Linked DNA regions of Arabidopsis thaliana. The protein of the gene in region 4 interacts with the protein of the main gene of each other region in a pairwise test. Each region holds a gene or a part of one and is shown on either strand. Other genes may lie near its edges. The genes, in order: AT3G26730, RCF3, TRM20 and CPL1.

Region 1 (7,049 bases), on a different chromosome or scaffold from region 4:
AGACAAATGGAACATTTTACACAGACTCGAATGGCCGTGACTTCATCAAGCGGGTATTAGATGCAAAATTCATGTGAAGTAGTTTATTTTTATTTTTGTAACAAGGGGTATTTTGTTTTTATTGTAACATACTTTGTTACATTTTCTTGCAGATTCGGGACTTCAGAACAGATTGGGACTTGCAAGTGTACCAACCGGTTGCTGGGAACTATTATCCTGTAAGGCATCAAACCCATCTGAGATTCCTTCTCGTGGTGTACTAAGGTCTTGTACTAGACTGAGCTGCACTATATCTGGCCTTTTGTCTAATATATATATTTTCTTCCAGCTAAATCTCGGGATATACATGCAAGATAAAACCTCAGAGCTATCCGTGTTGGTGGATCGAGCTGTAGGTGGATCCAGCTTAGAGAACGGCCAGATCGAGTTGATGCTTCATCGGTTTGTCAACTAACTTTCTCTATATAACCAAGACAAGCATATGTTGTTTTGCTTGTATTTCACCTTTTTTTCATTCATGTAGGAGAATGCAGCATGATGACATTAGAGGTGTTGGTGAGATTCTTAATGAAACAGTCTGTCTCCCTGAAGGATGCAAAGGATTAACGGTAAGCTTAAGTTCTCATCTCATTTTTAGCTGTCCAAGTTGCAACGTATCAGCTTTTAAGGGAACATGTGACAGAGCTTGTTTCCAAGGTGGTATTAAATCGTTATAGTTGGTCTTATAACCGTTATGGTAACTCTGAATTGTTTTGCAGATACAAGGGAAGTTTTATGTACAGATAGATAAACCTGGAGATGGGGCAAAATGGCGTCGAACATTTGGTCAAGAAATTTATTCTCCACTACTTATAGCATTCACAGAACAGGTTGCTCTTAAAAAAAAAAAAATACTTACTTCCCTCCAGTTCTATAAGATAGTGAAGTGAGATAAGGTACTTTTTTTGTAGGAAGGAGATAGTTGGATTAATTCACATAAGACGACATTCTCAGCGTTTGAACCGTCATATTCATTACCAAAAAACGTCGCATTACTCACCCTCCAGGTTAGTTGGATTGTGTACTGTATACATGTCAAAGACGGTTTTTTATTAGTTTGACCACACTCACACTATGATTAATTCTGACATTTTCAGGAGTTGGAAAATGGGGAAGTTCTTCTAAGGCTTGCTCACTTATTCGAGGTTCTTACTTGTCCTCTCTATGCGTTTCCACCGTTAATAATGTGTTATAGCTATGTGCTTTTTGGTTGTGGAAATGTAGTTTAACACTAGGCCGATTAAACTAGCAAATAATTAGAGATATAGAAAAACTTGTATTACTCAGAAAACCCAAATCTTGCAGTGTCAGGAAACCAGACAATTAGTTGTATAGAGTTAGTTCATAAAACCAAACCGTAACGTTTAGGGTGTATTTTTCACCTAAAAATCAAACTGTTTTCATGTTTATACTCGTAAAAAGCTGACTATGCGGTTGATCATCGTGCTATGTCATTTGGTTTTCCTTAATAGTTCCACATGTGAAATAAGATGAGACCTAAAGTAATATAGAAGGGAGATGGTCAAGTCCACTAATTGGTTTTAAATTGAGAACCCATGAACTTCGACAGTGTTGCTTTTTTGGTTCACTAAGCAACGGGTAAAATCTAATGTGGAATTTGATAATTATTTTCTATCTCTTCTCTTAATGGTTTCATCGAAGTTGAGTCCTTCTGAGTTACTGTCTTGTTAACCTTGTGAAGGTTGGGGAGGATAGTGAGTACTCAGTTATGGCAAAAGTAGAGCTCAAGAAACTATTCCACAACAAAAAGGTTCGCCAAAAAAAGACGACCCTTCTCTTATTTGTCTCACTGTATGTTAACAAAAACAACTGCCGTTCTGTTTTTAATATGTTTTGAACAGATAAGGGAAGTAAAGGAGACAAGTCTTTCCGGGAACCAAGAGAAGGCGGAGATGGAGAAGAGACGGCTAATCTGGAAAGTAGAAGGCTCGGCCGGGGAGGAAGTGAAGAGAGGAGAGGCGGTGGACGCAGAGAAGCTAGTGGTTGAGCTTGTTCCGATGGAAATTCGAACCTTGTTGATCAAGTTTGATGATCAAATTGAAATGGTTGGTGATAAAGAGCAGCAACATAGGTTATGAAATAATACACGTTGTTGTTGTCTTTTTAAGTTTAATCGGAGAAGAGAAAAAAGTTTGAATTTAGTGTCTGATGCGAGTTTAAAATTCGGGTGATTGCAACAGTCACGAGTGCGATCCCGGTAGGAGTATCGCAATTTCTGCATTAACATTTACGTTTGCTAAGGGGTGGGCATTTTAACCGAACCGAACCGATCCGAACCAACCGAACTCAAACCGACCCAAACTAAACCCGGATTAACACTAAAATTATTCGGTTAGGCTTCTTCTCAACCCAAATAGTTCGGTTTAAAAACTTTCCTATCACGACAATAAATTTTGTTTGGTGTTTACATAACCGAATTAATCGTACCGAATCCGAACTTAAACCGAAATTCCCACCGTTAACCTGGCTATACTGAAACTATATATATACGTATATATATATATATATATACATGCGATGTTGACAAATGAACACAAAAGTAGATAAACTCAAACCGGTAGTTATTACATTAACTGTGTAATAAAGATTCGGTATATCCCACCCGCGAAGAAAAGGAATCATATCACGGGTTAACGAATCCGGGTCGGGTACACGGAGCAATCATAAAGAAGAAACAAAAACTACGACGACAACTTTTTTTTGGCCTTGGTTAAAAAATTTTCATAAGTGAACACAGAAGAAGCGGTGGCTCTGAGCCGGCGAAATCTCCTTTCTCATCCCTAAAATTTTCATGTCCATCTTGCCTCCTCCGATTATCCAAGGTCACAATTCGTCTTCTCCTTCTTCAGATTCCTCTCTAAACCCTAGCTCTGAGCATGGCAACAACTCTTCTTCTTCTCTCTCTCCTCTTCCCTCCTCTCCTCCTTCCCGGATCTCTTCTTCCACCGGAACTCGATTCTCCGGACATTCTGAATCCTCTCACAATTTCTCCGGTGGCTCTAGGGGTAATGGAATTGATTGATTAACTCAGCTGCTTGATTTTGCCCTAAATTTTAGGGTTTTTACATTAAAAGTTCGTTAATTTTGTTGAGTTTTGATTTGGGTTTTTAGGGTCTCTTTGAAAAATCTTAGCTTTTTCTCTAATTTTTTATTCTTTCTGTTAAACTGTAGAACCGAGTGTTGCAGCTGAGGAGGGACATAGCCGTGGATCTTCCAAAGAGGTAAACTTTAGATGCTTCTCAGTAAATGATGAGACTTTAAGTCCTTTTTTGTTGAATGGTCCGTTACTTTTGTTTCTACGCTGCAGATGACACAAAATGGAGCAGGGAAGGAGAGTTTTTCCCCACCTAATGCAGATAAGCGTGACCATTTTCGATATGATGGTCGAAGGAATAGGTCTAGAGGGAGAGGTACTGGAGCTGCTGGTTCTTCTTCTTCTCAATTGCAGCATAATTCCGGACCTTTTAATTCTCCTAGAGGCGGTGTTTCGCATCATAATCCAACTGGTAGAAGAGCTAATATGATAAGTGGGAATCATTTACTGAATTTTCAGTATGATCCGATTTCGCAACCGCAATCTAGGGGTCCTCCTCCGCCTCAAAGAAGGCAACAATATAAGGGGAGGCCTTTTAACAAGGATTTGTTTCTTAAGGCCAATTATAAGTTTGTTGTGTTGGACACTGGAGATCATTCTCCTGATTCAATGGATCCTGATAAAATGCTGCAGTGGGATGATATTATTTGTGTAAGGTATTCTACTCCGTCTCCTGTCCAGTGTCCGATTTGCTTGGAGTATCCTCTATGTCCGCAGATTACTTCCTGTGGGCATATTTTCTGTTTCCCGTGTATTCTACAGTACCTGTTGACTGGTGTTGATAACCACAAGGTGGACTGCTTCAAGAGGTGTCCTTTGTGCTTTGTGATGATTTCTCCAAGAGAGTTATACACTGTTTATATTGAGAACGTCAAGCAGTATTCTGTTGGAGATCCCATCGAGTTTGTACTTTTGACTCGCAAGAAAGATTCTTTTGCTCCTACCCGGAAAAATGAGCATGACTTGGCTGTTCCTAATGGTGAAAATGAGATATATGATCCGTTCTCAAAGTTCACTTTCACCCAAGATGTTGATCTCTCTGTCAGACAAGCAGTTTCAGAGTTAGACAGTTGGATTGCAAGAGCAGATCCTCAGCTCGTTGAAGACTTGGAGAAGCATCTTTATGTAAATGCCGCTTTAGAGCGTTTGGAGCAGAGAAAATTGTACTGGAATGAGCATAAGCTCTCTATTTACAGCAAAGTGTGCACAACGGCTAGAAATCAGACTCAATCATTGTCACCTCCTGATGTTTCTCGAGTTGGTTATCAAGCACCCATGGGGGGCCATGGAGCGCCAGATAGCGGCTCCAATGATCAAGATAAATCAACTGAAGATTCTTCAGCGGATAAGTCAGATGGAGAATCTCAATCAAGTTTGGAAAAGGGTTGTGATAATGATCTTGGTCATCCTCTAGAAGATCAAGACGCACCGTCATCTTCCTCATGCAATGGAAGTAAAGGTTTCCTGTCTCACCAAATTGACACCAAAGACCTGAAGGACAACGACGCGTACAACTTTTATCAGGTAATCAGTTTCTGATGCATACTGTTGTGTTTTCATAAAGTACTAATGAGCTGCATGATGATTGTTTTATTGCTATGGGCTGGTCAATCTCTATAATCTGAAATAAATGTTATTATCTGTTTTCGATAATCTAGGTGGGTTTATTAAATAATTGTGGTGGTTCTATCCATATATGCTTAATTTGTCTTACCTTTGTGCTCTTGTTGTGTACCTATACAGTCTGTTGATGGTCAGCACATTATCCTTCACACTTTGAATGTGAAGTGCCTTCTGCATCACTATGGAAGCTATGACTTTCTTCCACCAAGGTAAGATTCCAGGTCGTTTATGCATCACAATTCTCATTTTTCAAAGACTATGGAATAAGTTCCAATGGGATCTTCTTCGTTATCTAATCATTTCTGCATGTATTTGGGATGCTGATTCAAAGTGTGATATATGGCACTTTTCGTTGATTAATCAAGAACCGTTCGTATAAAGATCCAACTCTTATTTAGTATGAAAATCAGAACGGACAATACATTCAAGTAAAAACGGTTCAGTACAAGATGTTATCATCTCTAGTTTGTTGTTCTAATAGACTTCTGATTTTGATCCATTAAACGGCAGATTGAGTGGAAAGATACTGGAAATGGAAACCATTACCCAATCAGAAGCGATAAGGAGACGCTACCGCTTTTTAAGTCATTTTTCTTTATCAACTACACTTCAGGTATATTTTCTCTTTGTTGCTCCTATCTTCTGCATGTGTTGCTATATCTTGACATTTTCTCATGAGGTTATCCTTGGTTTGGTAATCTTTTCAGATATGTGAGATTGATATGAAGGAATCCTTGCCTCCTGATGCATTTGCTCCATTTATACATGAAATTAAGAAGCGTGAGAAGCAGCGGAAAGAACGTGCTTGGAAGGTATTCTCGTTCTAACCATAAAACACAACCCCACGGTCTACTTCATCTAATATCTTTCAGATTCCAACTCCTATTGGCTTTGTTTGCTTTGTGTCTTATTCTCCTATGTATTCCTTTGTTTAAGGAAAAATCAGGACTTAAGATCATATGATGTTCATATTTCAGGATCGAAAAAATAAAATCAAAGCTGAAGTAGCTGCAGCTGCAGAGCTTGTACCATTGATGGCCAGTTTTGGGCAGTCGTCTTCTAGTGATGACTTTCCCCCATTTTCCTTGGATGACTTTGAAGGTAAACAAGAGGAATCTCTCGTCTCGTAATTGGATTTTAGGTTTATTGATCTAATAAGAAGCTTTTGTTGTGTCTCTCTTAAGCTCTGGGAAACTCTGCCCCAATATCATCAAGCCCTCCAAACATTGGAGAGAGAAGTTCCTTCTCACATGTGACAAGGCTCGGTTTCGCAGCTGGTCACGACTCCCCAAACCTGAATAACGAGCCAACAAACGTTCAAAGCAGCAGCAGCAGCAGTGAAGTCTCAAACGCAACCACAGGTAACCACTGTTTTTAGCTCTGCAAATTCTAAATAGGATTCTCGGATGACCTCTAAACATGGTTTCAGGTGCAAGAAACACAAACATAACATCCTTTGCGAGTGTAGCTTCAAGAACAACAACACCAATGGCACCAACCGTCAAAGAGCCCGGTAAGAGAGGGAAGAAACAGAGCCGAGTACTTCTATCGACAACTAGTGTACGCCGTTACTGAAAAGGCCTATGGATTTGTGTATGTATAATAATCTTTTCATCTAAGAAAAACTGAGTAAAGAAAGAACCAGAGATTATGGTGAGTGAGTAAGTGTAAAACTCAAACTTGGGCTTTGTTTCTTTTTGCAACCCATGTGACTGATAATGAAGGTGTCTCTCATTACTACTAGTCTACTATGCCATTTAGGACAATTATTGAGACTCAATCATATGATCCTCTTGACTCAGAGAACTAGAAAAAAAAAGATTGGATAAAATTTCTTCCAAGAGTGATTTTCATTCTCACATGTTACAACAAAGCATGAACCTTATCCTTTAAAAAATATCTTCTTCCTTTTGTTCAAACTTTTATCTTCTTTGTCATAGAAAGTTTGGACCACTGATTTTAGTCCGTTGGATTATCAATTATTGACCTCAATAATATCAAAATTTACTTCAATGAGAATAAGATTACAATTTTTTATTTTTTTTTGAACACCAACAAATCTGCTTCTTCTCTGGCTATAAATAAAGCATAAACTGTTCCAAAAACAGAACCAAAAAATATCTAAAATCACTAAACCTATCTTCTTAACCAAAAGATCAATAGATTACAAAAATGCAGGGAGCTCTGTTTATCAAACCAACTATTCTTCTTCCTCTTCCTTCTTCAGTTTCTTCTCCAAAACTCACTTTTCTTCTTCCTCACGCAACCAAAG
Region 2 (6,560 bases), on a different chromosome or scaffold from region 4:
TCCTTTACTTCTTCATGATTATACATCTGAATATATTCCCATCAAGAAATCAAACACTTTACCAAGTTAACTGTGATACCATAATGATTATCAGGGAAAGTCAAAACTATCTGCAGTTCCCTTTACATCTGAAGACATTCCCATCACGAAATCAAATTAAAGGAGAAGCCACTAACACTAAACCAAAATAGTTTCAATACCATATCACTATCACATTATGTCAAAAGTATCTGTTTTACCCTTAACATCAAGAACTAAACATCATCAAGATCACAACCTAGATACCACAACAACAAGAGGAGAAAACCACTAGCATTGTACGACCTAATATCAGACTAAATCTATTTTGCAAAATTAAGAGCCTAGTACCTTGCGTTGCTCTCGGATGAGATAAGCATACTTGTCAATGTTAGGCACAGCAAGAAGTTTTGGCATAAGGTGATTCCTGAAGTATCCAGGAGCTACCTTCACAGTCTCACCAGCTTTGCCAAGCTTCTCAATGCCCTAACAAAACCAGATCAGATAAAGATCAAGACAAATCAAAACAAACCCACCATCTGATTTCAATTCAACCCAACGAAATGTGAAGGAAATTTCAAAATCAAACGATAAAAATCATGCCTTTCAGAATCATTAAACCTCACCGTTGTAAGAATAACTTCTAATTTTCTGTATCGAACTCCTTGACAAGCGAAAAGGAGAGGATGATGAATCGCATTTTCATACTTGTGATAAGCTGTTCCTCTCGAGACTACATGCCGAATCACGTTTCTACTTTGCCCAACATAAGCCATTTTCTCGATTCAACAATATTCAGTGCGACAGTCTACAAAGAGAGATTCCACAACAAGGAGTGAGAAAACCCTAGAAAACGACGGATATAAGAGAACAGAGAAAACAAAAAGAGAAGTTAAGGAAGAATCAATCACCAGTGAAGCGGCAATGCTACGACGGTGGAAATGGCGACGGCGGTGCGATGCGACGTCTCTTTTTCACGAACTCGAAGAAAGGTGAAGCCGCAGGTGAGGTTTTAGCAGTGGCTATTTTTGTAAAATACGACTTAAGATTTATCTATGTTTTCACCCTAAACTTTATCTAGGGCAAAAACACCCCAATCTCAATGATGTTAACTCAAGTGAAACGCAGCGTTTAAGTTCTTCCAATATACATAGGGGTGGTGTGAATTAAAGATGAGTCTTTAATGATTAGTCATTCGGATTAAACTTTAATGACTTTTTTAAATAAGTTACAGAACAATGTAAACAAAGAAGACTAATAGACAACATAGAAACCAAAGAGTGATGGTCAAAATGTGGAATGTTCATCTAAACTACTGCTTACTGAAATCCTAATATTCAACAAGTCATACATAACTCCACATTTCTCAGTTTCTTGATCTTCATCTCTGTGTTGACTGATGATCTGGTCCAAGTTCACGGTCCATCCTCTTGTACTGCACCAAACAAGGAACGGAAATCAGACTTATAGATCAGTACAATACGGATATAAAAGTTTGGAAAGAGAGAAACTTACTGCTCAAAATGAAGCCTTGAAGCAAACTCTGAGCTCTCTCTGCTTGCTCGGGTGTACCCGAAATTCGAATGATATTCTGTGTTTCTTCTGGTCTGTCTTCAACTATGGTTACACTAGCTCCAGACCACTGTGATCAAGTGGGAAAGAGATAAGACAAAGCGTCAAAGATTTTGATTAGAGTCATGATTTGCACCAATCTAGTTCCAGTTAAAAAGAGTTCTACCTCACTGATTTGTGCAAGCTTGTTTCTTGATTTCGTAACGAGCTTAGGAACAACCGCCTCTGGTAAGACAACTTCAAGAGTGCTTCTAGTAACAAGTGGTACCGCCATTCTAGAGAAAAAAACAAAAAGCAGGAAGGAAAGGTGTGAAACAAGCACTTGTACGGTTTTGGGAAAATATATCAAATTTGGGAGTTTCTCTACCTGCTTGTCGTGACAGGAACCTCTTCCCGGTGTTCACTTTCACCCGCCTTTGCAACTGATCCGAAACCTTCCTATAAAAACCAAGAGAAAAATATATGTAAATATAGGGACATTGCACGAATGGACAAGAACCATAGACTACTTTCCAAGTATTCAGGTAATTATGCATAGCCTGATAGTAATATTACATTGTTTCGATGGCAAAAATAAGTCTGACCCTAACTGATTACAGATGCCTTTATATTGAAAAGATTGTTGATGAGAACAAAAACCTTAAACTGTGGCAAGATTGTGCTAACTTGCTGCAAGTTCAGATTCGAACTAGTAGGACCTTCACGAGATTGAATTGTGTTATTTGATGAAGCTACCTCCATTACTCCTGCAACACCTTCGAGAGGGCCAGTTGTGGATGTGGAAGCTGGTGGTGTCTCCTTTTGAGAGAGCTCCTTGAACATATGACTCCTCAATAGTAATGTTAATTCAACAAGTGCTTCCCGAGCAGCTCTGATCTCGCCAGTAATCTACATCGACATTCACATAAGAATTCTCTTTTGAGACCAGAAGTTGTTTAGAAAATGCTCGACTCCTCAAAAATAGACAAACATACCTGTATAACAACATCATTGATAGAAGCACATCGGGGAATTTCTTCCCTAGCTAGAATTTGTACGCTTGTTCCAGTTAATCGTGATATCTCAGATACTGATCCTGCTTTCCCTTCCAAACATATAGAGTCTCTAGATGGGACAAGTAATCTTGTTGTTATTAAATTATCTTTATCCGGAATAAGATCTATGATCTGAGTTTGAATGTGCAACAAGGCTTCTTGAGCAGGGAAAAATGGATCATCAGGTGCCTAAGCAAAGTAAGAATACAAAACTTCAAGTTCACAATTGTAAATGTAACAGATAATATTGAAGAAGATCTGAGGGTATTTAGAGTACCTCTTCCGAAGAAATGGTGATTATCTGTTCATCAGATCCAGCAACTGGGTCAGATACTCTAACGTCCACGCCGATCTCGTTCTGAAGCAAATCAATTATTCCTTGCGATTCCCCAACAACCCGAACAATCTTGTCAGCTGGGCAGAGAATCTGGAACACAAGCTCTTCGGAGTAGACATTCTCACCAACTGGAACTGCTGGAGCTTCTTCTGCATAGTTGGACTGGCGAGAACTGAAGTTGTTATTTCTAAAATTACCACGAGGAAACCTATCGGATGATTGTCTTCTTAGCTGTGGCATGTAATCATCCCCCGCAGCTGCAAACGACCGTTCTGGTGAATGTGAACGCCCTTGGAAATTACTCCGATCACGATGCTGACTCTCCCTTAGACGAGATGATACAATGGCTAAAGCGTTTTTCACTGCATTTAGTTCACCTACAATCTGAAAGAACCAACATTATAAATGCATTTCCCATAGGTAGAAAACACCAAAGAAAGCTTAAACATAACAAATAATGACCAAGCTAACTACATAAGAGTGATTCAACTCTTGTCAACAACCTCAACCTCACAATCACACATTTAAATTATCTAGCATTTCAATAAACTGACTACATTTCATATCAAAATCTCAACAAGATTCACCATTTCAAATATGTTCTCAAAATAGCAATTTTTCAGACCTGAACAATCTCTTCAGAGAGTGAAACACAACGAGGTAAGTTACTTTCTCTTGGAAGAATCCGAATATGAGTCTTAGTTTCAATCCTCATCTGCTCAATAATCTTCCCACCTTTACCCAACAAACAACCAACATGCATCCTAGAAACCACTAATCTAGTCACAACTCTCCCTCCACCAGGTCTAACTCCACCGTAATCCTCCTCCTCTTCCGGCGGAGGTCCACCATAACCAAACTGAGCTTCACTCTCCAAAATCCTGTCATGAACACTAAACAAAGCCTCTTGAGCAGGAGAGAAAGACGGCATTCTCCCATCAGGGTCACGCCTACGATTATCAGAAATCTCAATGATACGCTCTGCATCTCCAGGAACTAGCTCGTGCACGTTAATCCACGCGCCGGTGTGTTGCCTTATAGATTTGATAATTGTCCCGGATTTACCAATAACACCTCCTGCTTTAGCGTCGTGACAGAGGATTCGATAAGTCGTTGTTGCCATCGTTTCAGGATGAGACTTCGATGGCCGGCCATTTCCACCTCCACCACCGCCGCCGCCACGGTATCTGTTATTTCCTCCGCCGCCACCACCAAAGTGGTAATTATTGTTGTAGCGAGGTTTAGACCTAGGCATGGAATCTCCGTCATAGTCTTGGTCATAGTGGTAGTTTCTCTTGGATCTAGATCTCTCCATTTGAATAAAATCGCAAACCCAGAAATCAAAGTTCAAATCTTTAACTAGTCATTTATCAATCTCGCAGCAAATTTTTCGAATTCGAGGGTTTTCTGAAGGATTAGAAAGTTCACAAGCCCTAGAAGGAAGTCTACAGTACCCAATTACTTTCCTTTTTACCGGAAATTGAAAAAGGAAGGAACTTTCCGGTCAATTTCACAGGAATACTTGGAGGGAGAATTCAAGAATGTCCAAAATCGATGGAGGCGAATCGGTGCAATGCAAAAATCACCAGCTTTTTGTGTGTTTTGAGGGTTCTTTCCTGTGAATCTAAAAAGCCAAAGCTTTTTGAAGTTTGAGAGTAGAGAGAGACCGTGCAATGGGTGATGTTAGTGGCGTGCGCTAACTACGATATTAGCTACTCCCAAACGTTGTCGTTTTGGTCTCTTGGGAAATTTGGGTATGCTTCATCTTTAAAAACTCGTATTAAGCTAAATAAATTGTTAGACAAATGAATCGTCATCAGATTTTCGCATAGTTATTAGCACTGATGAAGATGAATTTTTGTGCTCACGTAACGTATTAGTAGATACTAAAAATGTATAAATAATTTTTTTCTAATAGGTAAAAATGATATGATTAATACGTAACCAATTAGATGATTTTTCGTGTTATGTACGAGACTAAAACTGTAGACACGTATGTGTTTTTTTCTAATTTAATTTTTAACTATTTATTAACCGCGGTATTATGTAATTAAGTACATATACTAAAACTGTTTTTGGAAAACAAAAAATCCTTTTAATATTTACCAGGTAAAGTATAATTGGTTTAGTGTTAAAGTTTAGCATATGGTAAAAATCATTTGGTGCATCTAAGTATTGCATCCGTTGAATACCATTTTCATCACCAATCCGTAAGGACAAAAAACGATTTACTATCCCTTTTCAGCAATTTAATTTGTATTGCTTCATTGACAAAATTAATTTTTCAAGAGTTTAAAAATAAAGAAACCAAACTCTCATTGCACTTTAAGTCTTTAACTAAATGATCACTTTTGATGAAAAAAAAAACTAAGGATCAGTTCACAAAAACAAGCAATAACAAATTAACAATACAAGAAAATCGTCTCGCACTTATGGTCAAAGACTCAAAGCTTAAGTTGTTGGTGGATCGTTTCGTCTAAATTGTGAGCCTTGACGGGCATAAGTACTTTCCAAATGATAGGTCTTCCCAACAAATATTTTCCGTTTCAGGAGAAGGTATTGCGTTTTCAGGTTGTGCTACGACAAGATGGTGACCTAAACTATATATAATGAAAAAGCAGCCACGAAGTCATGGAGGTTTTATTATCACATGTCCTGGTGAACAATTATCTAGTGTCCAGCATAAAATGTCAGTAACGATCTTGCCTTGTTTTGTGTCTCGATCTGTCTTCTCCTGAAACCACACCAATATAATATAAAGCAACGCGGATCAAAATAGCAAAACATTATAAAGTTCAACAAATTGAACCGGAGATTAAAATAGTGTAGTGACTACTTCAACAAATGGTCTAAGTTGCTATTGTTTTAGGTTAATGCTCCACTTGTGTTCAGACCCATTATCGCTTCTCTTATATATGATGCATATGAATTCCATTGACGTAGTACTACTTCTACTTCTAGCGTTTTTCACGTGCTATATTTCTATACAACATAGTTTTCTCGTGTAAAAAATTTGACCGTTGACCTTTGTTAGATATTACCCGCCAATAAAATCCAGCCGACCAATCCTACGTGGCAGTCCTAACCTCCACCCAAAAAACCGAACCGAACCACACCACAGACCCAATCTCTCTCTCTTCCGATAGAAAAGTCCTTTCCTTTCTTCTCCTCTTCTCCTCTCCGGTTATTCAAAATCTGATCCCACCCAGATATCAGAGTTTGAGAACAAAAAAAGCGATGCCGTTTTGCGAGGTCGTGAAAGAAGATGTCGGCCCAGAGACGACGCTTAACAATGCCGCAATCAAAATCTTCTACAGAACGTACGGTCATGGTCCTATCAAAGCTCTTCTCATCATAGGTCTGTTGTAATCTCCATCTTTCCCATTTGATTAGTTTCCTTAGCAATTCCGAGCTTGATTTCAATTGGGTTTTTCTAATTTTGTTCAGGTTTAGCCGGAACCCATGAGTCATGGGGTCCTCAAATCATGGGATTGACGGGAACGGATAAACCCAACGACGATGATGACGACGACGGAGGAATTGTTTCCGATGATTCCGGCATCGAGGTTTGCGCTTTCGATAATCGTGGTATGGGTCGA
Region 3 (7,337 bases), 2.7 Mb from region 4:
TGTCACTATCATTGGTTTCATTGCAGCTGAAGCTATCAATGGATGTTGCTTGTGTTTCGTATCCTTTTATATATAGACTGCACCTATATGTTTCTGTTAATACTATTCAGTTGTGATGTTTAATCCTTGATAGGTCTTAGTATTCAATTCTCAAAACTCTTTTAATCATTATCGAAGCAGCTCTAGTGGGATTCATAGTGATTGACCGTCACTGGGAGAAGGTGAGGTGTTTTTTTTTTTACAGTTGAAGCTTGTGTCTTGTGTGTTCTGTTTAACGGTCTGGACTTTTGTTTCTGTAGGATCTTCCTTATGATCCAACTGGAGAACTCAATAGTCTTCGAGCTTTCATCGAAGAAAACATCGATATTTGCAAATGGGTCGGAATTGTTGTGGTAGCCATCCAGGTAACTAACTAACTGATTTTGGTGCCTTTGAGTTCATTCATGATTCACTCAGTATTCATATGTGAGTATGTGTTTCAGTTACTGTCATTGCTACTGGCTTTGGTTTTGAGAGCTATGGTTTCACCTCGGCAATCAGAGCTTGATGATGAAGATGATTTTGAGAATCCGATGAGTAGAGCACGAGACAATCTTCTTGGTCCACAGGCAAACCAGACATCTTCTGGATCAAGCAATATTGACAACTGGAGGTCCCGAATCAGAGAGAAGGTAAAAAAAACTAAGTTTCTTGGTCGTTTGATTTTGAACTTAGTACCAAAGATTTAAGCTTGTGAATTGATTTGTCATTATATTCTTGTTCTTCTACAGTACGGATTGATCAACAGTCAGAGCCACACTCCATCAGCTTAACTCAAAAGACTGAGTTCTTGTGTCTGGAATTATCAGTACTTTGGTTTGGTTCTTCTCTCTGTTAACTTTCGAGTGTGCATAGATATTTACACATTTATGTTATCGTTTGATACTTTTTTCGAAACTCTGTTTAGATCGCAACATAGCTTTCATTTTGGTGTACAAAAGAGTTACGAGATTTGTGTTTGAAATGGGAACAACTGCTTATTGCTCTGCTTCAACAATGGCTACACAGCATTCTGTTTTCTCTCTCAATCATTACAAAAAAATCGAGACACAAATCTTCCCATAGACCAAAAAAAAATGAACTTAGCACTATCTTACATTTTTATTGAACGTAGTATATATATTGCTCCTGTCTCATCTCATCGTGTAAGATCGATAACGGCTTCCTCTACTAGCTCTTGCAACAATCTCTTTTCAATTTCAATCCCAAAGTCATCTATTTCAACTTGCAAGCTATGAGTCCATGTCCTCCCGACTATCTCATCTTTCACTAGACTCTCTGCAGCCAAACTGTTGGCGTCCATGTCTTCTCCTGAGTCACGCTTGCTAGGCTCATCTGAAACCCAGTCCTTTAACTGAGCCCACACATGCTCCACCAGGTCGAAATGCAGAGAACCATTACCTGTGCGTGTAGTCGTTGTTTCTGAAACGATGGAGTTGATGCGGTCGAAAATGAGCTTACGAGTTGATCGTTGTTGTCTGCGTTTGCCTTCGTGGATGAACTCCTTGATGTTGTTGTTATCCGGGTTGGTGTATTTGTCTCTGAGTGAAGGGTCTAAGGGACTGTTTGGCATGTGCCATCGTGACATGATGGGGTCATGAGAGACTATGCAACCACTGCTGAAACCTGCAGCTGTCAAGATCATTTCTATGAAGAGATGCCAGTCTTCCTCCTCATGGACTCCCATTGCGGGTTTAGCTATGTTGTCAGTGCAAGAGTCATCATCCCATGAGAGGAGCCGAGCAATTGACCCGATTGGTGGTGATTTGTCGATTAGATTAGATTTAAGAGACATTTCGTCTCCTGTTGAGAATGGAACATTTTGGATTAGCGTAAAAGGAATGTTGGGTAACAAAACTCTTTGAGAAAGCTAAGCAAGCAGAGAACTAACCTTGAGATGACCAATGCTTGGTTGACCCAGAACATTCTGGAATGCTGGCACATTCCTCTTCAAATGGTGGAAACAAAACCGAAATTGGACTTGGCTGGTCCTGGTTTTCACTTGTATTCCCAGTCGCTAGGGGCTTTGGTGTAGTCACTTCCTCCTGCAAATGGATCAAAATGGCCGCTGATTTAACATGAATATTCATCCACCTCGAATAGATTGAAAAAGGTTTAGAGAATTGGTGGGATACCTCGCCTAGGATTATACTTTGCTGTTCTGATGAAACAGGAGGGAGACAATCAATAGGAAACACACAATCTTCGCTGGTTTTTCCGGTAAGAGTCACAGGAGAAGGCGCTGCCAATTGAGACATACTGCTGCATTGAGATGCATCTCTTTTCTCCTTGCTTGCTTTATTATTCTTAAAGAAGAACAAGTTTGAGACTTTCCATGACGATTTCAGGCTTCCCGTCTTAGTCAGCTCTCGTGGAGCCTGTACTTTGGAACTCCCCAGAACAGATGTTTCTCCGTTGAGTCTAACGTCAGAGACTGATTTTGACCTTGCAAGAATATTCAGAGAATCACTTGCCATTTCCACTTGACTCAGATCACTAGTTATGCATGATGTTGATACCCTCGTTGCTGGTACTATTTCATAGCTCCCTTCCCCGGATTCAGTTGTCACTTTGGTCTCTGTAAGTGCAAGCATTTCCCCTAAGGTGCTTGAGGTTCTTGAAACATGTTTAAGCGGTTGAGTTCTTCCCGATACTGACATCAACGCCCATCTTTCAGAAAGTCGCTTCTTCGCCTCTCTGCAGACAGATGACTCTGGAGAAAATGAAGCTCTGCTGAAAGAGGAAGGAGAGAAAAGACTGTCAAACCTATTTGGACAGTCCCAAGAATGCCTAGATGCTGGTGACATGATCTCAGAATCGCTAAGATTTCCCACTAAATCTTCGTTATCAGACTTATTAAAAGAACTGTCATCACCGATATAGCCATTGGATAGGACAGAAGAAGACTGAGTCTCGTTCCTGTGGTGACCCATCAGATTTTCGCGCACTTGACGAGTAATTTCCTTTGCAACTTCTTTAGTCTCAACATCTTCAGGCTCATCAAAATATCCCCTACTGTGTAAACCCCTTGGAGAGGATTGGGATGATGATACAGCCTTAATATCTAGAGACTTTCCTAGACTAGGCTTCAAGACGACAATTCGGGTTGGCTGTACAGTGTGTTCTTCGGTTCCCCGGTTGACATAAGGTGACGGGTAACCCAGATCACGGTTCCCCCATCCAGTCTCTTGACTTGATGAAGCCAATTTCTTAACCTGCTTGTTCCTCCTCCCTTGAACCACATATTTTTCAGTTTCACCAGCCTTTGAAGGTCTCAATACTGTGATCCGCTTCGCCTCTGAATGAGGAGGAACATGGTGAAAGTCAGAAAGATTCTGCTGAGAGAAAGAATTTGATTCCTGGAGAAATTGAACAAACAAATCCTTGTTCGAGCTTAACACTTCAAGTGCATCTTGGAACTCTTTGGATTGGTGAAGACTATCATCTGTTACAAGGCGTTTTGCTTCTGAGAACTTTTGACGAACAAGAGCCATTTGTTTCTCAGTCGTACTTTCATCATATCTTCCTTTTCTAGGCGAGCAATCCCTTGAGCGACTCACCTTCTGAGGTGACTGCCATGTTTCATACACATCTTTAAATTCCCTACTGAAATCCTGATACTTTTGAACCTCATTATCTGTAGAAGTCATCGAATGATTCAGAGAAGAGTGTGAATTGCTTCTGGATTTGCTTCGCTGTGTAGCAGTCTCCTGATGCGTCTGGGGAAGTGTTTCCAAACCCATCAACTTAGCAACCACATTAGTTGGGCTCTGTTTATGTTCAACTTCTTTTGACATTTCTCGAGCAATGAGTTTCTTCATCGGTGTACCACTTAGTTTGCTAGAAGCACTTCTCCTCAAATCAGACATAATCTGTGCAAACAGTGCAGGCAATAGACTTCAGCTTCTGAATATTAAAATCGCTGTTGCTAGCATGCATACTATTTCTAATTATTTAACCAAACGTACCAATTCAGCTTCTGAATGGCCTTTATAAGAAGGGCCTGGCATTCGAGTCACATCAGATCGACTTCTTGACAGAGAGGATCCTGCCATGAAACTACCTCGTGTCAATAACACAGGTGGATACTAGGACATCCTACTCAGTTCAGAAACATAACAGAAAGCTTCGACTAGTGAACAAAGCAATTACAGAGGGAACTAGTGATTACCATCAAGATGTGGTTTATCTGTAAGCAACTTGTTCCCATTAACAGCAATTCCTAGATCAAATAGGTTAACCATCTTCCCTAAGCATCCTGGAACTGGACTTTCAATCTTTTGAGCCTTTCTGCCTCGGAGTTCATTCATTATGGTCCCTGCAGTTTCACAGCTATTTAGTTATTATCTGAGGTGACACGAAACTAACAAGCAAAGATTCCTAATGAAGAAACTTTCCAGCTCTGCAAGCTTCAAAATTTAAACCTAAAAGATCCAGGAAAAGTGAAGAGAGAGTAGAAGAAGAGAATATTTCTAGCAGCAAAGAGGAACAGGACAAGCATAACAAAACAAGAACTTTGTAAGGAAAAAAAGAAAGGAGAATAAGATTCTGTAATCAGAGGGACACTTTATAGTGACTGAACAAAAGATAAGATGAACCAGTTACCATTTTTTCACATGACCTATCACAATCAAGCCAGTCACTTTTTATGCTCTGAAGTCTGAACACAAACTCCTTGTGAAAATTACAAATCAAAATTGACTCACCCTTAATAATAAGACCCCCTCAAATTCCGAGATTGATGATAGGAAGAAACAATCAACAGGCACTGTGGATCTGCCTACATTAACCAGATTCCAGCATCAGTGATACAACACTCCTCTAGTAAGTCTATCTATGAACTCAAATTTGTTTCCCCCAAAAAGAAGAAACCTTTAGTAATAAATGTCACATCTTTAACAAAAACAAGCAAATTGACAAAGAGAAGAGTAAATGAATCCGACCAAAATTAGCTCAATACAATCACAATTGTAAGGAAACAGTAAAAGCAAAAGCAGAGAAAGAGAGAGAGAGAAAGGGTAAAAAGAGGGATCAGAATCTAATTGAAGTAAGAACAGTGAAAAGCAAACAAAGAAATCGAAACGAGAAAATAGGTAAAAAGCATCGGAAAGTGAGATCAGAGCTAAATGATTCAGACATTTTGTGGCTTTTTTACTCGGGGGAAGAGAGAGAGAGAGAGAGAGAGAGACCTGTAACAGTTAAGAGCTGAGCTTAGCTAGAGTAGATACATCGGAAACTCCGCCGGAAAAAGATGCCCGCCGGAGATAAAGTAAGCCAAATCTCTCTCTTTCTCTCACGCGTTCACACCGACTGAGAATGGCGTCGGAAGCGAAATGGATTTTGAGGAAAAAAGAGTCTTTTTTTGTTAGGGGAAACTCTCTCAGGTACAGACAAAACAAACCGAGAAGGAGAGAGGAAGCCAAAAGAAAATGGAGGAAGTTGCTCTCTTCTCTTCTCTTCTCTTCTCCACTCTCTTTCTTCCTCTTTTGTGTTCTCTCAATTATTCATTTTCTTTTGTTTCCAATATCTCTTCTTTTATCTCTTTTGTTTTTATTATCTATATATATAAATATTGGAACTGAAATAATATAAATTTAATTAAGAAACCACATTCGGAAAATCAAATTTATTCATTGGTTTTTGTAAAAAATAAAAAAAAATTAATACTATATTGGTTGGTACTATATAGTCTAAATTTTAAATTTTTTTTGTGGTAAAAATAATAATATATATAGTCAATATTGTGTATAATTAACAAATAAAAGTTTAATAATAGTTGGTTGGTACTTATGTATGAATGATGGCAAAAGACGTATGGAACATCAAAACGATTCGCAAGTTTTGTCAAGGAAAGGAAAATAGAAAAGAGATGTGATGCTTAAACTTCAATGATTAGTGTGCTAAAAGCAAAAGAAATCAGATTATGATCATATACTTCATCTCTTTCTATTTTTGGTTGCACGGATAGATACGCTCAACTTCACATTCACAATGAATGCTTTCATGAAAATTTGGTATGTTACAACAACCATATCCTTTGTTTCTGCTACTTTCACAACAATTACTACTAAGTCTACTATAGTAGATATATCAGTACATTTTTATTTATATATATACATTTTCATTTTAATGCAAACAAAACAATTACTATATGTTTCCCACTGACGAGTAAAAAACTTAATTAGATTCACAGAGAGCAAATAAATATAACTTGTCCTTCTAATGTATGGCCGAGTGGGCAATGGCGAATGATGATCCATTTTTGTGTTGTCAAATTATCGTTGGTTATGAATATCGGTTTCCCCATGCAATTTATTGTTTCGTATACTAAATTCTTTAATATGTTACCAAGAACGTGAAATCGAAATCGAGATAATGTGTAACACATAGGCAAGCCATGTAAATTATGCAGTCATAAAAGAGACGATACGCTAACCAAGAATCAATATATGGTTTCGAGCCTTCGATTATTAGAAAGATAACGACCACACTACTATTGGTTCTACATGTTTTATGTACATAAAATCAAATCGGGACCAAATAAAAGAAAAACTGAAATGGACCAGCCAATATAATGTATATATTCTTTAATATCAGTTGATAAAAAAAATAACAGGAAAGAGCAATAAAAACATAGAGCCATGACATTATGTCTTCATCATTATCAGCCTTAAACGATAACAAAATTATAAAGCTCTAGAATTCACCAAATATACCCAATTGAATTTCTACTAGTACCTAAAATCATAGTTACGAGGGCTAATGGACTTCTCATAAGACTTATCTTACGCATCATTTGGATCCTCTAATATTTCGCACACTATTAAGTCCCTAGACGAATCGAACCAAGGAAATGCGTAATTACCTTTTTAAGAAGAATTAATGCACCTAACGGATATTGCCGCTCAACATAGAGTGGTTAATGTTCTTTTTTGCCAACCTGTATTTCCATTTACTGAAGAAATAAATTTGACACAACTAAATCTTTGAAAATTACAATATTTTATAAAGATTTACAGTTTTTGGGTTTTATAAAATAAATAAGATTTGACAAAGATAGTTATGAAAAGAAGGATGAAATACGGATGTCTTTTCATGAAGATTTATAAAGAGTACTAATAACTTCATATCTTATGATTAGAAATCTAACTTTGAGGCCCTTGTGTACCTTCGAATATAGCTAGTTTATAGTGACGGGACCCTTAGCATAACCAAAATCACTGACAAGCCATAGCATTCCACGTGGTTAAGTCCATCTATACTCTCATTATCATCTTCCCTCCGGTTCGGGTTCACGA
Region 4 (8,374 bases):
ACTGTATTCCGGTACGACTTCAAAAACACTAACAGCTTTGGATCTGCTGAAGTCGCGTCCCAGACCTGAAAATTGTAAAACAGAACTTATGAATATACAATAGATATCTACACAACGAGATAAACCTTGGTACTATGAACACAATAGAGAAGCATCCATACCTCAACAACATCAGGCCTAGCGGAAACCTGCTTCAGCTCAGCAATCTTCATTCTCCGTTGAAGCTGAGGAAACAGAAATTCAGAATATTCAGAATCTAAAGAATGCAATAAAACAAATTGAGAGGTAATAATAAGGTTTGAGCTATACCTTTTTCTTCTTATTAGAGATGCCTTTCTCTTTGTTCTGATTATCCTGCTCGTCGTCGTCTGAATCAGAATCAGAGTTAACCTTCTTTTTGACATCTTCTTTCTCCTCAGACTCATCTTTCGTACCGTCTTCTTCAGAGGCAAGAGGTTCGCGGAAGTTGAACTTCTCGAAGATTTCCTTAAACTCATCGTTAAAACCATCTTCAAATTCAGCTTGCTCTGGAACATACTCTATCACAATCTGCTCACAAACCTATCAAAGAGAAACATATACCAAAAATCATCAGCAAACGATAAACAATCACAAACCCTAAGAAAAACCCTAGAACACCTCTCCATGAATCGAGTACGAGAAGATGAGCACAAAGTTAACCTGTGGCTGGGGATCTGTATTCTCTTTGGATTCAGAAGCAGCAGAAACGTCCGATGCATCTACATCGGCTTGGGATGCTTTGTTGTTCTTCTTCTGCTTCCGTCTGCGGCGGCGACGGTCAATCTCACGAGATTTCTTAGAGGAAGCGGAGGTGTTTCCGTTGGAGACATCACCGTTAGAAACGACGCTATGAACGAGTGCGACGGTTGAATCGGCGGTCATATTCGGTGTTCTCTCTGAATCGGTGATGTGAAAAGAGAGATTGAGAGGAGAAGGAAGAACGACGGAAATCGAGGATATACGTATATGAACAAGAGTCGGTTTGCTGAAATTCTCTCTGATTCTATTTCCGGTTTGGCATAAGGCCCATATAAGTAGAAGACGAATATATCTGCCAATAGGCCCAACACTTTATATTTTTCTTCGAGTGTAAGAATTGTTTTGTAGAAGACCATCTACTAGTAACTAATAGAAAATTTCAAAGGAAATGTATGGAACAATATTCAAACACTACTATAAATGTTGGCACGAGTTAACTCTACATTATTCGTAAAAATGTTCTATTGAACTTTTAAAATTATAAAATTACAGTTTACACAATGTCTTGAAATTTTGAAGAAAGTTATAAGTATCAAAATTGTATATATGTGGGTATTTGAGATTTAAATAAAATTCTCTGACTAACAACAAAACTTTTAATAAAATTTAAATGTTTTAGTTTATTATTCGTAAAAATTTAGTTTTTACATGAATTGAGGTAATTTTTATTCACTTTGAGATTTTATTAATGTGAGCACGACTCCCGGTGTATGTTATCGGTTGTTTATTATGCAATTAGAACAATATACATTGTGCCTTTTTAGTTTCAAAATTGTTTTCATAAGACATTAGGAAAGAACACGGAAAAAAAAGACATTAGGAAAGAATTTTGTAACGGCTTTTGTACGTAACGGTTATTTTTAAACAAGGAAAAAAATACTGTCTATAAAAAAAAATTATCTTTACGTAGTTGTGTATTTTAGAAAACAAAATAAATCATTTTTTATTTACTAAACTATTATTTTATAAGGAAAAGATTGAAAAGAGTAGGGGAAAGATATATGTGAAAAAATATTCATGCTTGGTAGATAAAAAATATTTCACAAATAAAGAGACAAGTATATGTCAAAAATATCATGTCTTTTGAATAAATAATCTTCTAAAAAAAAAGAATTAGATGAACTATAAATATCTTGTGGTATATGAATCCTTGACACTGTAAAAATCAAAACATGAGATCAGAAACACAAGTATAAAAGTACATTACAAGTACGGTATGAATCGAAAAAAAAACAGAATTTGACAGGTTTTGAGCTGATAAAAACTATTTCAGGCTTTTATTAATTTTTAAAAATAGTATTAATTGTTTTTAAAATAAGACATAAATAAAAAAAAGAACGGTTAAAGAAAATGAAGGGGCCCTTCGTGTTTTGTTTTCCCTTAAAAAAACCAAGGACAAAGGCATAATGCCGTATTCACAATCTTGACTCTTCGTTATCTGGATCTAGGGTTTCTCTCGATTTTTAGAACGCCACAAAACCTAATAAACTTTTCCCAGATACACAAACAAACTCATCATCAACCAAGGAAGAAGAAAGAAACTAGGGTTTTTTTTTGTGGATTCATCATCGGTATTTTACAGATCTATATTCAAAGGGAACAAAATCTTAAGGAACAAACACTAAATTTTCATTCTTTCTCTTATTTACCCATTTATCAAAAATCTTCCTTTTGTTTTCCTGATTCTTGCTAAAGAAAAAAACTCGGATCCAATTCATAAACTAGTGTGGACTGGTGATCAATCTATCAATTCTGGCCAAGGGACAACAAAAAGTTTAGATTTTGATGAACCAATTTTGAGATGAGACAATAGACATCCATTGATCTGTAAACTTTAAGAAGGAGAAGGAGAAAAGAAAGTATGTATAGTAATAATAGAGTAGAAGTGTTTCATGGTGATGGAAGACTTGGAGAATTGGAGATATACCCTTCAAGGGAATTGAATCAGCAACAAGATGATGTGATGAAGCAGAGGAAGAAGAAACAGAGGGAAGTAATGGAGCTAGCCAAGATGGGAATCAGAATAAGCCACTTTTCTCAATCTGGCGAGAGGTGTCCTCCTCTTGCAATACTTACTACAATTTCATCTTGTGGCCTTTGTTTCAAATTAGAAGCTTCACCTTCTCCAGCTCAGGAGTCACTCAGTTTATTCTACTCGTCCTGTCTCAGGGACAACAAGGTATCTAAACCTTACGAACCTTTAAGCCTTACTCAGACTTAGATTTTATCAACTAAAACTCAAAAACACTTAATGATAAATAGGATTTTGTGTCATTATTTAACTTCCTTAATGTCAGAGCTGCATCAAGTTTGGGGCTTTAGAAACTTTTAGTAGAGTGGGGGTTTGAATCTTGTGTTGTTTGTTATGTTACAAATTGTCCTCATATTTGTGAGTTTTGGATTTTTGCTTCTTGCAGACAGCAGTAATGCTCTTGGGTGGAGAAGAGCTCCATTTGGTTGCTATGTACTCGGAAAATATCAAGAATGACCGTCCTTGTTTCTGGGCATTTAGTGTTGCTCCTGGAATTTACGATTCCTGTCTTGTTATGTTGAATCTTAGATGTCTGGGTATTGTCTTTGATCTTGATGAAACCCTTGTAGTGGCGAATACCATGCGCTCATTTGAGGATAAGATTGACGGGTTTCAGCGGAGAATAAACAACGAGATGGACCCTCAACGCCTTGCCGTTATAGTGGCTGAGATGAAGCGTTATCAAGATGACAAAAATCTATTGAAGCAATATATTGAAAGTGACCAGGTTGTTGAAAACGGGGAGGTGATAAAGGTGCAATCTGAAATTGTTCCTGCCTTGTCTGACAACCATCAGCCTCTTGTTCGCCCTCTGATAAGGTTGCAAGAGAAGAATATTATTCTGACTCGCATTAACCCAATGGTATGCAAGTCTTGAATCAGTATATGTCTGTTAGTTTCTGTTCCCCGTATACATATATGTTTAGTGCTTACTACACATTTAAAAGACAATAAGTGGTGGTGTGCTGTGTGGTGGATTTCCTTGAATACTTGTGGTATAACCTTTTATTTTTCATTTGCTCCTTTCTGGAGCACCTAGATTTTTCTGAATTCTTGTGGCTGAATCTGCATTCCTATATTTACACACAGATTCGTGATACAAGTGTTCTTGTGAGAATGAGGCCCTCATGGGAGGAACTTCGAAGCTATTTGACAGCAAAAGGGCGTAAGCGTTTTGAAGTATATGTTTGCACGATGGCTGAAAGAGATTACGCCTTAGAGATGTGGAGGCTCCTTGATCCAGAAGGGAATTTGATAAACACAAATGACTTGCTTGCTCGCATCGTTTGTGTGAAATCTGGTATACTTTTTGGTATCTTATACCTGCTTATATTTCATCATGGTAAAACTTCTTACAAGCTTGTAATTAACCACCACAGGTTTTAAAAAGTCACTGTTCAATGTGTTTCTCGATGGAACCTGCCATCCAAAGATGGCATTGGTAATTGATGATCGATTGAAAGTTTGGGATGAGAAGGATCAGCCGAGGGTACATGTGGTTCCTGCATTCGCTCCCTATTATTCTCCTCAAGCTGAAGTAAGTATAATTTTTACCTAGTTGAAATTGGTTATGAAAAATGCAGAAGCATGTGAATTTGATAAGAATATTATTAATCAAAAGAATCACAAGTCATTTAGAATGGAACAAATGAAGCCTTATAAGACCTAACATAAGCTAGCTTTGTGGTGAGTTCTACGCAAGGGGTCTTTGTGGGCCTGGTTTGTTGCACAATTTCTACCAGAAGTGATAGTCTTGACTTTTCAGTAATAAATGGTGTCACATATAGCTCGTTTCCTTTTCTTGTAGGCTGCTGCAACACCAGTACTATGTGTTGCCAGGAACGTTGCCTGTGGTGTCAGAGGTGGATTTTTCAGGTAAGATGTCAGATTTGATAATAGTAGTTTGTTTTCTTGACATCTCTACTGATCAAGGGTGCTTCCTTAGTACATACTTACGGTGAAATGGTATTTGAACTTGGTTACAGGGATTTTGATGATAGTCTGCTACCAAGGATTGCTGAAATTTCTTATGAGAATGATGCTGAGGATATTCCTTCTCCGCCTGATGTCAGCCATTATTTGGTGTCGGAGGTTAGTCGTGATACTTGTTAGCGATTGGGAGTAGATAATTTTTTGGTTCTCTTCCAGGCAGTCTGGGAGCTTATTTTACTCACCTTTGAAACTGCTTCCCAGTAACTCATTCTTTTTTCAATATAGGATGATACATCGGGTTTAAATGGGAACAAAGATCCACTTTCCTTTGACGGGATGGCTGATACTGAAGTGGAGAGAAGACTGAAGGTGATTTACATTTTGAGGCTCTATTGTTACTGAGTTATTGTGGTGATCCATTAAAGATGCCAACTCCAGTAAACATGGCTTCTGGTTTAAATTTTCTGCCCAATGTTGAAATTCAAATACATTTTTCCGTTTTATTCAGGAGGCAATTTCTGCATCTTCAGCTGTCCTTCCGGCGGCAAATATAGATCCGAGGATAGCTGCTCCCGTTCAGTTCCCCATGGCTTCTGCTTCTTCTGTTTCAGTTCCAGTACCAGTACAAGTCGTGCAACAAGCAATACAACCTTCAGCTATGGCCTTTCCAAGTATTCCATTTCAACAACCTCAACAACCGACATCAATAGCTAAACACTTGGTTCCTTCAGAACCAAGCTTGCAGAGTTCTCCTGCTAGAGAGGAAGGTGAGGTACCTGAATCAGAATTAGATCCAGATACTAGGAGGAGACTCCTCATATTGCAGCATGGACAAGATACTAGGGATCCTGCTCCAAGTGAACCTTCATTTCCTCAGAGACCTCCAGTTCAAGCTCCACCCTCACATGTGCAATCAAGAAATGGCTGGTTTCCTGTTGAGGAGGAGATGGATCCTGCTCAAATTCGTCGAGCAGTCTCAAAAGAATATCCGTTGGATTCTGAAATGATTCATATGGAAAAGCACAGGCCTCGTCATCCATCATTTTTTTCTAAGATTGATAACTCAACTCAGTCTGACAGGATGCTTCATGAGAATCGCAGGCCGCCAAAGGAGGTACCACTAATCTTATTTAACCTATGATTTTACAGTTGTCAGTTTTTTTGGTCTTTATACTGCTGTACGACGTTTAGTGCTCACTGTGATATATTTGCAGTCTCTCCGGAGAGATGAACAGTTACGTTCAAATAACAATCTACCTGACTCTCATCCTTTCTATGGTAAGCCATCAAAGTTATTTGTTCTTGTATCATTTTGTTCTGAAGATAAATCACTGACTTGGGTATTGGGATGGACTCTCTAGGGGAGGATGCGTCTTGGAATCAATCTTCCTCTAGGAACAGTGATCTTGACTTCCTACCTGAACGAAGTGTCTCAGCAACGGAGACTTCAGCTGATGTTCTACACGGAATTGCTATCAAATGTGGAGCTAAGGTATGTAAATATCATCATGATTACCATTAATTCCATACGTGAGTTGATGTGTTATTATTCCATGACATTGTAGGTGGAGTACAAACCAAGTTTAGTTTCTAGTACAGATTTGCGGTTCTCTGTTGAGGTACGTATTGCTCTTAGACGTATCTGTTTGTATGGTGTCAGTAATTTTGGTGGAACCTTATGCTCTTTGAGATCCTATATTTCCTTTGAGTGAGGTTACTTTGTTGATTGTGTCAACTGTACATTAAATCTATGTTTTTTTTGCAGGCTTGGCTTTCTAATCAAAAAATTGGAGAAGGGATTGGCAAATCGAGAAGAGAAGCCCTGCATAAGGCTGCTGAAGCTTCTATACAGAATTTAGCTGGTAAGACTTTCTGACTCATGATTTACTCGTGTCTTAATCTTTGTCTGCAGAGATACTATTTGAGATAGATTGTTTGAATCTGCTATATTGGGTGAATGTTATTTGTTTGATGTTTCTAAACCATCTTCACAATATTGGGTGTAGATCTCAATTTTTCAACCAATCTGTTTAGTCTGTAATATTAATAGATCTATTGTAGCTTCGTGTTGGTCCTCATAAATGGGTTTATATCAATGAGTATGAGTACTGCCACCACAAACGGTTGCGTGTCAGTATGTTATGATATCAAAACTGTGGGTCCCTTCCCTTTACAAGGGTGAGAGCTATCTTGGATTTGTGGCAGTTGGCTCAGGTTTAATATTGGTCGGCTTCATTCACATTGTTCTTATAATGAGGCTTTAAACTCATTGTTGTTCGTTTGTTTCCAGTTTCTTGAGTTCTTACTCCTTTTTTTGCAGATGGATATATGCGTGCAAATGGTGACCCAGGGCCCAGCCACAGAGATGCTACCCCCTTCACCAATGAAAATATAAGTATGGGAAACGCAAATGCGCTTAATAATCAGCCATTTGCTAGAGATGAAACAGCGTTGCCAGTTTCTTCTAGACCTACAGATCCGAGATTAGAAGGTTCTATGAGGCACACTGGCTCCATTACTGCACTCAGGGAATTGGTATGTATCTCCTTAGTGCGGATACTGTTGATTGATATGGTTGCTTGCTTACATTCACATATTGTTTTTTCTCATCTTTGATTCATCTGTAACCAAATTCCAGTGTGCATCGGAGGGTCTTGAGATGGCTTTTCAATCTCAGCGTCAGCTTCCATCTGACATGGTCCACAGAGATGAATTACATGCTCAGGTTCGCACCCCTAAAAGATTAGAACACAGAAGTGTTAAATTTTTTAAAAAAAAAATCTAAGATAGACAATTTTCAGTTAAAAGAGAAAGATTCATGATTTTCTCTTCAGGGCCATCAGTATATTTCATATCTATTCAATTGGTTTGAAGTATCTAGAGTGTAGACCCCTCTTGATACTCTTTGTAATATATTTCAGGTTGAAATAGATGGGCGTGTTGTAGGGGAAGGAGTTGGATCGACATGGGACGAAGCTAGAATGCAGGTAACTCAACTAAATTCTTGCCTCGGGTTTATTCTGATCCCATCTTTTCCCTTCTCTGACGTTCTTACCTTTAGGCTGCTGAGAGAGCACTGTCCAGTGTGAGATCAATGCTTGGTCAACCTCTGCATAAACGACAAGGATCTCCACGGTTTGTTCTTGACTATATCTATATGATTATCAAAATAAAAATGTCAGTTGATATATTTTAAAAACCGGTTTCTTGTTGATGTTTAGATCATTTGGTGGGATGTCAAACAAGCGATTAAAGCCGGACTTTCAACGGTCTCTGCAACGGATGCCATCTTCGGGAAGATACTCTTAAAAATAAAACCATGTGAAGAACGAACCACATTCTACATTAATTCCATTCTCTTGGTAAAAACAGCTACCAAGACGAATTCTTTGTCAAGTTCCTTTCTTCGCCAAATGATGATCAAGACAGCGAGAGTTGCCTCTCTTGTATTGATGTAACAACAATTTGAGGCGGTTCGCGATTTTTGTATCATAGAAACTCTTGAGTTGAAGCATCAGCTCGAGTGGCCACAAAGATAAGACCTAAGGATGAACGTTTAGCTTGTTCTCAGGCTGTTAAGTTTCCACAAAGCTTTTTCTGCAGTTTCCATAGTTAACAGTCCTTGTTTTC

Evidence for each region.
Region 1: the proteins of CPL1 (region 4) and AT3G26730 interact in a two-hybrid assay, tested with the Arabidopsis thaliana proteins (one study listed by BioGRID).
Region 2: the proteins of CPL1 (region 4) and RCF3 interact in a two-hybrid assay, tested with the Arabidopsis thaliana proteins (one study listed by BioGRID).
Region 3: the proteins of CPL1 (region 4) and TRM20 interact in a two-hybrid assay, tested with the Arabidopsis thaliana proteins (one study listed by BioGRID).

The regions. Positions count from the first base shown.
Region 1 is NC_003074.8:9,820,919-9,827,967, forward strand, and holds AT3G26730 (RING/U-box superfamily protein), read left to right. Parts: upstream 1-2,605; 5' UTR 2,606-2,851; coding exon 2,852-3,065; intron 3,066-3,231; coding exon 3,232-3,281; intron 3,282-3,367; coding exon 3,368-4,678; intron 4,679-4,897; coding exon 4,898-4,986; intron 4,987-5,287; coding exon 5,288-5,390; coding exon of another isoform or gene 5,391-5,484; coding exon 5,485-5,589; coding exon of another isoform or gene 5,590-5,604; exon of another isoform or gene 5,605-5,754; coding exon 5,755-5,878; exon of another isoform or gene 5,879-5,961; coding exon 5,962-6,138; coding exon of another isoform or gene 6,139-6,155; exon of another isoform or gene 6,156-6,206; coding exon 6,207-6,352; 3' UTR 6,353-6,549; downstream 6,550-7,049. Other genes in the region: AT3G26720 (Glycosyl hydrolase family 38 protein), read left to right, coding at 1-53, 153-218, 329-441, 524-608, 759-869, 951-1,046, 1,137-1,184, 1,742-1,810 and 1 more; CCL (CCR-like protein), read left to right, coding at 6,950-7,049.
Region 2 is NC_003076.8:21,513,071-21,519,630, reverse strand, and holds RCF3 (RNA-binding KH domain-containing protein), read right to left. Parts: upstream 4,736-6,560; 5' UTR 4,277-4,735; coding exon 3,587-4,276; intron 3,346-3,586; coding exon 2,902-3,345; intron 2,814-2,901; coding exon 2,565-2,813; intron 2,479-2,564; coding exon 2,230-2,478; intron 2,029-2,229; coding exon 1,958-2,028; coding exon of another isoform or gene 1,954-1,957; exon of another isoform or gene 1,926-1,953; intron 1,866-1,925; coding exon 1,757-1,865; intron 1,661-1,756; coding exon 1,534-1,660; intron 1,454-1,533; coding exon 1,434-1,453; 3' UTR 1,084-1,433; downstream 1-1,083. Other genes in the region: AT5G53070 (Ribosomal protein L9/RNase H1), read right to left, coding at 1-26, 370-504, 645-794; AT5G53050 (alpha/beta-Hydrolases superfamily protein), read left to right, coding at 6,199-6,319, 6,409-6,560. UniProt on the Arabidopsis thaliana protein: Acts as a negative regulator of osmotic stress-induced gene expression. Involved in the regulation of thermotolerance responses under heat stress. Functions as an upstream regulator of heat stress transcription factor (HSF) genes.
Region 3 is NC_003075.7:14,205,652-14,212,988, reverse strand, and holds TRM20 (methyl-coenzyme M reductase II subunit gamma, putative (DUF3741)), read right to left. Parts: upstream 5,530-7,337; 5' UTR 5,229-5,529; intron 4,820-5,228; 5' UTR 4,746-4,819; intron 4,358-4,745; 5' UTR 4,350-4,357; coding exon 4,211-4,349; intron 4,088-4,210; coding exon 4,008-4,087; intron 3,912-4,007; coding exon 2,175-3,911; intron 2,085-2,174; coding exon 1,931-2,084; intron 1,843-1,930; coding exon 1,178-1,842; 3' UTR 939-1,177; downstream 1-938. Other genes in the region: AT4G28770 (Tetraspanin family protein), read left to right, coding at 1-58, 141-221, 300-404, 483-671, 771-812.
Region 4 is NC_003075.7:11,508,870-11,517,243, forward strand, and holds the start of CPL1 (C-terminal domain phosphatase-like 1), read left to right. Parts: upstream 1-2,119; 5' UTR 2,120-2,641; coding exon 2,642-2,959; intron 2,960-3,197; coding exon 3,198-3,674; intron 3,675-3,901; coding exon 3,902-4,112; intron 4,113-4,191; coding exon 4,192-4,349; intron 4,350-4,619; coding exon 4,620-4,687; intron 4,688-4,797; coding exon 4,798-4,903; intron 4,904-5,029; coding exon 5,030-5,113; intron 5,114-5,252; coding exon 5,253-5,858; intron 5,859-5,958; coding exon 5,959-6,022; intron 6,023-6,105; coding exon 6,106-6,236; intron 6,237-6,309; coding exon 6,310-6,363; intron 6,364-6,509; coding exon 6,510-6,606; intron 6,607-7,064; coding exon 7,065-7,279; intron 7,280-7,382; coding exon 7,383-7,469; intron 7,470-7,665; coding exon 7,666-7,731; intron 7,732-7,805; coding exon 7,806-7,879; intron 7,880-7,965; coding exon 7,966-8,053; 3' UTR 8,054-8,374. Other genes in the region: AT4G21660 (proline-rich spliceosome-associated (PSP) family protein), read right to left, coding at 1-65, 162-224, 310-561, 682-903. UniProt on the Arabidopsis thaliana protein: Processively dephosphorylates 'Ser-5' but not 'Ser-2' of the heptad repeats YSPTSPS in the C-terminal domain of the largest RNA polymerase II subunit (RPB1). This promotes the activity of RNA polymerase II.